2 linked regions of the Arabidopsis thaliana genome follow. The protein of the gene in region 1 interacts with the protein of each later gene in a pairwise test. Each region holds a gene or a part of one and is shown in the gene's direction. Other genes may lie near its edges.

Region 1 (4,633 bases):
CATATCTCTTCTTTATCAGTTTCCCTTTTTTTTTTTCTCTCTCAAAAATCATGTTTGGAGTTTCTTTTGGTTCAAGCTAAATCTTTTTCTCTTCTTCTTTCTAATAGTATCTATTTGTTTCTTCAAACCAAACGATATCTACGCAATACATGTCGGTTATTGTGATAACGACATTGTTTGGATGTTTCGGGTTCAAAAGATTTGTATGAATGTGTATACTATATATGTTTTTGGCTCAATGATAAAGACACTTGATAAGAGATTCAGGATCGTTTCAAATTATTTTAAAAAACTATATATAATATGAAAAACACTTTAATACTTAAGAATACTATTTGTAATCCGTAAAACTTTAAGTTCTAAAACCATTAATTAAAAATAAGAAACAAGTTACGTTGTACATATAAACTAAAAGACGGAATGGAATATGATTTGATTGTAAAAATAACTTTGGACAAAATCTTCCAATTATAAAAGAGAGAACAAAGAGTTCTAATCATATTGATTGGTAGGTCATGAAGAAGCTTAAGGAGTGATTGTAGAAGAGTGGAAGTGGAGGCGACAAAGTGAGGAGACACGTGGAAAAAGGCACGTGACGTGGGGAACGTGAAATGTTGTCGATAGTGTTTACTGTCTCGTGCTTGCAAAACTATATGTATGTTTTGGAGTGTGAGAATTGTGACGTATCCTCAGTCCTTAGTCCATAGGCGAAGCATCTCTCATTAGCTCCTCTCTTTAAGGTTACGCATTCATTACTCATGCTTCCCTTCTCTCATTTTCTTTCTTTTTCTATATTCCCCTCTATTTGTTTCTTCGCTTCTAATTTATTACATGTAACGTACAAAACCAAGAAGCATGCACTTTTTTCTGGTGACCAAAGTTTAATATATCAACCGAATTGACTATACCACATACATGTTTCTATCTAAATCCAATGAATATTACACAAATAGAATCTTGGTGTGCCAACCAAAGAGAAGCATTTATTAAAGTCACTATTTTGAATACTAACGACGGATAAGACTAAGATCACCAATATGATGTGTTTTGGTCTCTGCCATGAAAAGATACAGAAATTCTGATTAAGATTTGTGGGAGATTAGCACCACTTGATTCACTTTGATTGCTACACATAAAAGGTTGGTAAATTGGTTTAGTATTGGAAAAATATAGTAGTGGTTGGACTTGACTATAGATGCTTCATGATAAGATAAATTAAAAGGAACAATCAAATTAGTAGAGGAGTGTAATTACTAACAGCGACGTGGATTAAAATCATGGAAAGCTCAAACTCTTGTCATGCTTAGATACAATGGAGTCCACGTAGACTATTTTCAATATTTTTTGTCATAATTAAAGAACATTATTAGAGAGTTAATGACGTACATGAGACGTGTTTAGCAGTTGATATTCAATTTAAAAAACATTTTGACATACTTTAATGCTAAAACAAAAACATTTTTTTTGCTTAAAGTGTCTCGCGGTTATAAAAAAAACCTTAATTATGGAAGTGTTGTTTGTCGAACCCACGAATGCATCAATGCGCGTCACGATAGTCTCATGCATTGAACTTGATTTTACTAAGACGGATAATGAAGTAAACTATGTATTGTACATTGGTCTACATTTATTTAAGAAAACATGTTCTTATCCGGTTTAGAACTATCTTGTCTACGTTCATATGATTCCTTAAATCTAAGCCTAAACTTTTTAAACTAAATCAGTCACAGTTTCTTATTCATTTATAGTGTTTTAACAAAATAATTCAGTTAATTCTAAAATCCAACCCTAATTATTTTATAAGAAATCAAACAATCTTTTTTCTTTTTTTTTTTGTTAAACGAAAGGTAGTACTAGGAGTCGAGTATATTTACATTGAAACAAACAAAATTTAATTAGAACACACCCAGCAAAAAAATCCGAGCACAAAGTCAAAACCAACACTTTGACCAAGTGTCTGCATGACACGTGTATTTGTCTGCTACATGGACAACATCTTTAACAACACTGTCTCATCATTCCACCATTTTCTTTAATTAAAAAAAAAACATATCAGAAAGACCATTCCAATATTATTACTTCTTCCTTTTAAGCTCTAACAATTAAATAAAAATTTCCATTCTCTATATATAATACACACACGTTCAAATCATTAATCACCTGTTTTAGATAAAATCATAGAGAGAGAGAAATAGTAAAAGAAATAAAAAAAAATGGGAAGAGGGAGAAGCTCATCGTCTTCATCGATAGAGAGCAGCTGCAAAAGCAACCCATTTGGTGTGTCTTCGAGTAATACTCGGAACCTAAGCACGGACCTGAGACTCGGGCTCAGCTTCGGATCATCTTCCGGACAATATTACAACGGTGGAGATAACCATGAATATGATGGAGTCGGTGCGGCAGAGGAAATGATGATCATGGAAGAAGAAGAGCAAAACGAGTGTAATAGTGTCGGAAGCTTCTACGTGAAAGTGAACATGGAAGGAGTTCCTATTGGGAGAAAGATCGATCTTTTATCTCTTAATGGATATCATGATTTGATCACAACTCTCGACTACATGTTCAATGCTTCAATCCTTTGTAAGTATCTACACACACTTAATTACATCTTTGCATGTAGACTTAGTTAATATTTATATTTGTTATACCTCTCTTTGCATGTATATAGTTAAGACCAAAACTAATGGCAATAAAAAAATTGTGAAAATAGGGGCTGAAGAAGAAGATATGTGTAGTGAGAAGAGTCACGTGCTAACGTACGCAGACAAAGAAGGTGACTGGATGATGGTTGGAGATGTTCCTTGGGAGTAAGTTCTTTTTTAATTTTAGTGTATTAAAAATCTCTAGTTAAGTATTTTTTTTGACATAATTATGTAAAAATTCCCTTTAATTAATGGGGACTTAATTGATTATGTAGGATGTTCTTGTCTAGCGTGAGAAGACTAAAGATCTCAAGAGCTTATCACTACTGATTTTCTAAAAGCAAACTTGGAAGAATCTAGGATTGACCAATACAGTCAGTGGTGGTGGGGGAAAAAGTTAGTTTTGTCTGAATGTAAATCACTTGTTCGAGATTTTATTCAAATTTTGTTTCTAGTTTTATTACATTTATAAAAAAATCGGTTGTAACTTGTAATGAAGCTATTTTTTTCAAGAAAAAAAGCTGTAGCTAATGCAGATCCTTTTTGGTTTAGTAGTTATTTTTATGGTTTTAGACATAGATTAGATAATACTAGAAATATGAATTGTTTTGGAACACTGCTGAATTAGGTTCATATTCGTATTCTAGTTTTCACAAAGTTTCAGTTGAGTTACTAGTTTAACCAAATCAAGATCTATTTCATATTTTCATACTATCATTTACTTCTCAATTCAACTATTTTACCGGAATAAACAGTGAAATATAGTTGTTCTAGTTATGGAATCTGAAATTGAAAAATAATTGTCAAAAAATTTCAACAGACTCTGTCGGAGATATTACAATTGTTCCGCTCACCAAAAGCATTAAAGCCCATACAAGGAAAACAAAAACAAAAACTCTTAAGCCACTCTGATTATTTTCCTCACTGCACACAAATTTACACGAAAACAACAAAAGATGAAAGAAAGCATCATTTTTCAAAATCGAAGAGGTTTCTTCAGAATCAAGCAAACTGTGTTTCCCCTTTGATGTTCAAAACTTCACAGTAACTTACCAAGAAAGTAACCATGGTGATCTACTTAAACCACTTGATATCTCCATATTATTTTCCGATAACCCGAAACAATCAGATCCATGTTCCGGGAATATACTCTCTTTCAAAGAATCACAAGTAATTTCCGGCGAAACCCACTGTGAATAACCTCTCACATTCGAGCATTCCCATGGTGATTTCTTCGAATTCTTCTTCACTCTAAGAGTAACATTAAGGAAACATATATTCTTAAACACATCTCCTTCTATACCTTCAAGAAGACCCGCAACACCTATTCCATCGCCATTTACATTCTCAAAGGTGATTTTCTCTATAGCTGGGAGTGCTTTGGGATCGTATTTCTCATCAGGATGTTCACCGTACTTACCGGTGAACCTAATCGCTTTCTTTACATTATCGAGCTTCACGTTCAAGATGTGAACGTTTCTAACATACCCGCCTCTTCCAGCAGAAGTCTTGATTCTGATTCCAGTATTCGAATTGAACAAATGTAAGTCTTTAATGTATATTTCGGATACACCTCCCGACATTTCACTTCCTATTGCTATTCCTGAGCTTGAAGTAGTTTGACCTGTTAACCGATTAATCTTGATCTTGGAGCTCGGTCTTGCGTAGGATATTCCATACTCATCCCATCCGCTTTTTATCGATACCAAATCATCCCCGGTAACTATGTAACAATCCTCTATGCAAACATTAGTTGATGAATCTGCAAACAGAACAATTTCCAAAGATAATAATAAGGTACATATCTTGAATCTACGAGTAAAATTTGCAAGGAAACTCACCTGGATCAACTCCATCTGTATTTGGAGATTCAAGAGGAGCCAAAATTGTGAGATTCTTTACAACAACATCTCTGTTCAGACAAAAACTCCATATCAGAACATTGAAGAGAGAAATTTGGTGGATATCAAAATCAAATCATGATTAAGTTA
Region 2 (5,774 bases), on another chromosome or scaffold:
ACAAATGTGCATTATTTCTATCATCCACTAACTAATAATTAAAAATTCAATATTGACCGTACTATTATAAAAAAAAAAAACAATGGTTGGAAGTTTGAAATACGTAAACAACAAAAAAACAAAAAAAAATAAAACTTCGTTCGTTAGTACCGTATGAATTCATAGATACAACATATACAAAATAAGTATTTTACCCAACATGTGTCTTCTTTCACTGGTTTGATCTCATTCGTTTTGCATGGGCTAACAAAACAATTATTTCAAATACGCGAAGATTATTATTTCTATGCGACCATTTTATAGAAAAGATAATTTAGATAAGATATAAAGGAGACATTTTTAGAGGAGATAACATTGAAATATATAGTATAATATATTTTTAGAGATTCATAAATTATAAATTTAGAAAAGGACATTAAAATTTGATATAGAAAAGGAATTTAAAAGTAAGTAAAAGTTTACAAAATCAGAAATGAAAAAATAAAATGCTTTTAAAAAAAATGTAGACGTGCACGACAATCATATATATTAGTCGGTTAGGTCAACGATTCCCATGTCGCTAATTTATAATGCATTCCGTTGACAAATATTTAAAAATGTTTCAATTATACATCTTGAGGTCTGTTTTTGCACACATAACACGTCATATATCATTGACAAAGAAAACACGTCGTAATTTTCTTTTTCTTTTTCTTTCATGTAGTCTTCTTGGCTTAAAAGAATTCAGCTAAGTAAGTATGGTTGATATTTTCTTCTACAAGTGATAAAACTTTGGAATTTTTGAATAAGTATAATTACAAGAAAACACTGCATATAACAACTACAAGAAAACACTGCATATACCAAAATTATCGAAACATGTATATTCCGACAAACTGAAATCACCGGAAAACGGTGGTGTATTGAAACAAAGAGTTGTTTTAACTGAAGTTTGAAAGTAAACAAAAGATTAAAAAGTAATTTATAGTAATGTTAATATTTACTCATGTTTCTGCTTTGGTGATTAGTAATAAATCTTCTAAAATCTATATGCCATTTTATAAATGCGATTAAAAATTTACCAATTAAACCTTATTTAGAAAAATGTAGAGAAAACTTCAAATTATCTCCTCAAGTAGGATTAGATCGAGCTGCAAATTGGCTCTTTTTATTCATTTAATTTCCTCCATTCCTAACTGTATTGGTATTGTTTACTTTATTTCTATAAGCAACAAAAAAAAAAGAATCTTGTGGACAGGTGACAATTTATGAGTCAGCCAGAATTGCCACGTGTCGGAAGATCAGTTGCCGTGGTAAAAGGTGTTTTTTAGATTCTCAAAAAAAAAGTAGTTAAAGAGAATAATATCAAAGAGTCAACTCCACAGTTCACAGATCCACCGTTGGATCTAACTTTTGGATTATCAACGGCCCAGATAATAGTTAACCGGAATCACTCGGTTACCGAGGTAGTCAATAGTTCTGTGTTTTAAAAAGAAATGCGTCCATGTGATCACTTTTATTTTATTTGTAGTCAGCTTTTGTTTTCCTACTTTGTCGTTTTTCTTTATCGCTGTTCTCAACTAAAGACTTGTAGACTATACTAATAAGATATAGTCAACGATTGTCGCTGTTATTATAGCCTTTAATCTCTATTAATGATTGTTAATTGTTCCACAATCTGTGTAGATTAATTAGGTAAAATTAAAAGTCAAGAAAAGATTGTTTTCAATTTACTAGTTTTCCAGTCAAGACGTTTTCTAGAAGGCTATGAGGTAAGAAAAAAAAAATATATATTAGGTGCAAAGTTAATATGGGAGTCAAATATTATTTTCAAATAATTATTATTGTCAATGCACTGCAAAATTAGTAATAATTCTAGAAAGAAATTGAAATAATAAAAATATGCTGCAAACACGAGTTTGGTATGTGTGCACCATATAATATTGACAAGTTGTAGTGTTGGTTGAAGCTAAAAATAACACAAAAACATAAAAAGAACATGAATAACGCCTAAAACTTAACACGAATAAAATAAAAAAACATAAAATATATTATCAAAAGTCAAAATCACAAAAGAAATTAATACCATTTTACAATTAGCTGAAAATTTATTCTATCAAAATCCAGTCCTATTAAAGAAAAATATGTGATTTGAGATGAAATTAATATTACATATTTTGATTTGGTTCAAGAATAAATTATGGATTTTGGTTAAAGACCTTCTAATATTCCAAAGAAACAAAAAAAAATCAGCCCAATTGTTCATACAAATAAAAACAATTCATTACCTTTAATTTTAAATTTATTGACTTGAACTTGAAGACATAAGATACCTAATAAAAGAAAAAATAGATATGAGACTTTAAAAAAGCTTTATGATTTTCTTTAGACACCATCCTTTAATGTTTTTTATTTGACTTTTTGTTTCTTTGAAATTCCTTTACCACCATTTTCCCCAAATTCAAGTTTACGCACAATGATTCCTTTATTTTAAAGACACGATTATAAATTCTTGCTTTGCACAAAAGAAGACCCTACATATCTCACAACTCAAGGAGACCAAACTTTGATTACTTTATTCCATAGAAATCTTCAACTCAATCTCAGCCGTTAGATCTAAAGCACCGATTTGACTAAACTCCATCTTAAACCTACTCAACCGGTCACTCGGTCACACCCATAACCCCATATATCACGCCAACGCCATTCTTTTTTCTTCCAGTTTCGCTCTCTCATTCATCAAAAAAAACTTGCACATCTTCTCAGATCTTCAAGTTTCTCCTCTGGTTTCTCATCATGACCGTTGATATTATGCGTTTACCTAAGATGGAAGATCAAACGGCTATACAAGAAGCTGCATCACAAGGCTTAAAAAGCATGGAACACTTGATTCGTGTCCTCTCTAACCGTCCCGAAGAACGTAACGTTGATTGCTCTGAGATCACTGATTTCACAGTTTCTAAGTTCAAGAAAGTTATCTCTCTTCTTAACCGTTCCGGTCACGCCCGGTTTAGACGTGGTCCGGTTCATTCCCCTCCTTCCTCCTCCGTTCCTCCACCGGTGAAAGTGACAACTCCGGCTCCCACTCAGATCTCTGCTCCAGCACCGGTTAGCTTCGTTCAGGCAAATCAACAAAGCGTGACGTTAGATTTCACTAGACCGAGCGTTTTTGGCGCTAAAACCAAGAGCTCGGAGGTTGTTGAGTTTGCTAAAGAGAGCTTTAGCGTATCTTCTAACTCTTCTTTCATGTCTTCTGCGATCACCGGTGATGGAAGTGTCTCTAAAGGCTCTTCGATCTTTCTTGCTCCGGCTCCAGCGGTGCCAGTGACTTCCTCCGGGAAACCGCCGCTTTCTGGTCTTCCTTACAGGAAGAGATGCTTTGAACATGACCACTCTGAAGGCTTTTCCGGCAAGATCTCTGGCTCCGGCAACGGCAAGTGCCATTGCAAGAAAAGGTATTGTTATTACTCCACAATAAATTAATCATTTGTTTGACTAGCCTAGTAGTAGTTAATTGTTTGGTTCGATACGGTCTAAACCAATCGCTCACGGACTCAGTGAAAATATATCACGAATTCAGATTTCAAAATTCTTTTTTTGCCTCGAATTTGTCAATCATGAACAAGTCTACTAGTTAAATTAACTAGTCTCAGTAAAAAATAAAGAATAAAAATCCGGGTTTAATACTTTGTAGACCGGTTTGGTACTATCTAAACCAATCGGTCAATGTATTTAGTGAAAGTCAACGACAGTAACTTAAACCAAAGTGCACGCCTGACAAGGACAAGTTAGTGGGTGCTGTCGTTTTGTATAGGGAAAGTTTTTACGTTTTAAAAGTCTTTGTCTGCCCGTTGACTTTTGCTAACCTGATGCATGTTCACGTTAGTCGTGTCAGCGCACGTTAAATCATTTCACTAATTACAATGTTTTATTATTTAATTAACAGCCGAAAAAATCGGATGAAGAGAACCGTGAGAGTACCGGCGGTAAGTGCAAAGATCGCCGATATACCACCAGACGAATATTCATGGAGAAAGTATGGACAAAAACCGATCAAAGGCTCACCACATCCACGGTAACTATCGTACACCATCGCTATCCACCGTTGATTTATTTGTGAAACATTGGAGATCTAACGGTTGTGATTTGTTTTTGTTGATTTCAGGGGTTATTACAAGTGTAGTACATTTAGAGGATGTCCAGCGAGGAAACACGTGGAAAGAGCTTTGGATGATTCAACGATGTTGATTGTGACGTACGAAGGAGAGCACCGTCATCACCAGTCCACGATGCAGGAGCATGTAACTCCTAGCGTGAGTGGTTTGGTGTTTGGTTCGGCTTGAAGAATTAATTAGTTTGGTAGTTTTGTAATATTTTGAGAAATAGAGGGGTTGGTTTTGTAATTTTTTTTCTATAACAAAATTAGTTTTAGATTTTTTTTTAGTAGTCTTTTGAATGGATTTTAATCTTACTACCGAGAAAGAAAAAATTCTTACTACATTTTCATAATTTCTTGTTTGATATATTTAGTGGTGTCATGTAAGAAAATGATGTTTAGCAAAGTAATTGGTATATAAATGTGTAGGCATATGTATTTAATGATATGGTTCGTAAAGTTACCATTACTCTGTTTGATCTAGTTATGATTTGTGATGGTTGATTTAGGGGAAAAATGTCATTTAATCCCCCAACTTTCAAAAAATGGCCATTTTATACATCAATTTCATATGTGGCCGTTTAAAACATGAACTAAACGTTGACTAATTTTTAAAACATGATCTTTCGTTGACCAGGCCAAAATAGACATGCCGTTATCAGTCATTAACGGAACTTCTAACGTCCGTTATCATTCGTTAACTTTATTAGTCAAGTTTCAAATTGTGGCCATTTTAAACATCAACTTCTTATGTGGCTATTTAAAACATGAATTAAACGTTGAATACCATTTAAAACATGAAAAATTCGTTGACCAGGCCAAAATAGACATGTCTTTATCAGTAGAACCTAGAAACCCGTTAATGACTGTTAATCTGTCCAAAATAACGTCGTTCAAGAATAATCGAAAGAACATAAAGATTTTTTCCATATGAAATCTCCATATCAAAAAGTTTTAAGCAGAACCCAAGAACATAGTTTGATAAAGAGATAATCGCAGTGCCAGTAATTGGAAGCAAATAAAGGTGTTTTCGTTTATATATTTGTTTTAAATTTTAAAAGGAATCATGGAAGCAAATTGAAGACTCATTATAAGATTGTTCGTCTTGTTTGAGCGGTTGTAAAAATAGATTTGGGGAAGTAGGGTTTCATTTAGAAAACAATCCTGATTTTCTTTTGATTACTCTCAAAACAAAGTCGTTTTAGGGATACTAATAGAGTCGTTAACAAGTGATAATGAATGTTATAAGTTCTTTTAATGAATGATGACAACATGTTTATTTTGGCTTGGTCAACGAATTTCTCATGTTTTAAATGGTAATCAACGCTTAGTTCATGTTTAAAATGGCCACATATAAAGTCGATGTTTAAAATGACCACAATTTATAACTTGACTAATAAAGTTGTTAACGGATGATAACGGACGTTAGAAGTTCCGTTAATGACTGATAATGGCATGTCTTTTTTGGCCTGGTCAACGAATAATCATGTTTTAAAAGTTAGTCAACTTTTAGTTCATGTTTTAAACGGCCGCATACGAAATTGATGTATAAAATGGCCATTTTTTAAAAGTTAGGGGATTAATTGACATTTTTCCCGTTGATTTAATGGAGGGTTAGACTTTTGGAATGGGGTTGTTA

Evidence for each region.
Region 2: the proteins of IAA30 (region 1) and WRKY17 interact in binary tests that used the Arabidopsis thaliana proteins (3 or more experiments, as listed by UniProt).

What each region holds. Positions count from the first base shown.
Region 1 is NC_003074.8:22,993,622-22,998,254, forward strand, and holds IAA30 (indole-3-acetic acid inducible 30), read left to right. Parts: upstream 1-2,064; 5' UTR 2,065-2,213; coding exon 2,214-2,580; intron 2,581-2,710; coding exon 2,711-2,807; coding exon of another isoform or gene 2,808-2,811; exon of another isoform or gene 2,812-2,917; coding exon 2,918-2,972; 3' UTR 2,973-3,188; downstream 3,189-4,633. Other genes in the region: AT3G62110 (Pectin lyase-like superfamily protein), read right to left, coding at 3,692-4,404, 4,484-4,554. UniProt on the Arabidopsis thaliana protein: Aux/IAA proteins are short-lived transcriptional factors that function as repressors of early auxin response genes at low auxin concentrations.
Region 2 is NC_003071.7:10,436,224-10,441,997, reverse strand, and holds WRKY17 (WRKY DNA-binding protein 17), read left to right. Parts: upstream 1-2,528; 5' UTR 2,529-2,775; coding exon 2,776-3,434; intron 3,435-3,925; coding exon 3,926-4,054; intron 4,055-4,144; coding exon 4,145-4,322; 3' UTR 4,323-4,645; downstream 4,646-5,774.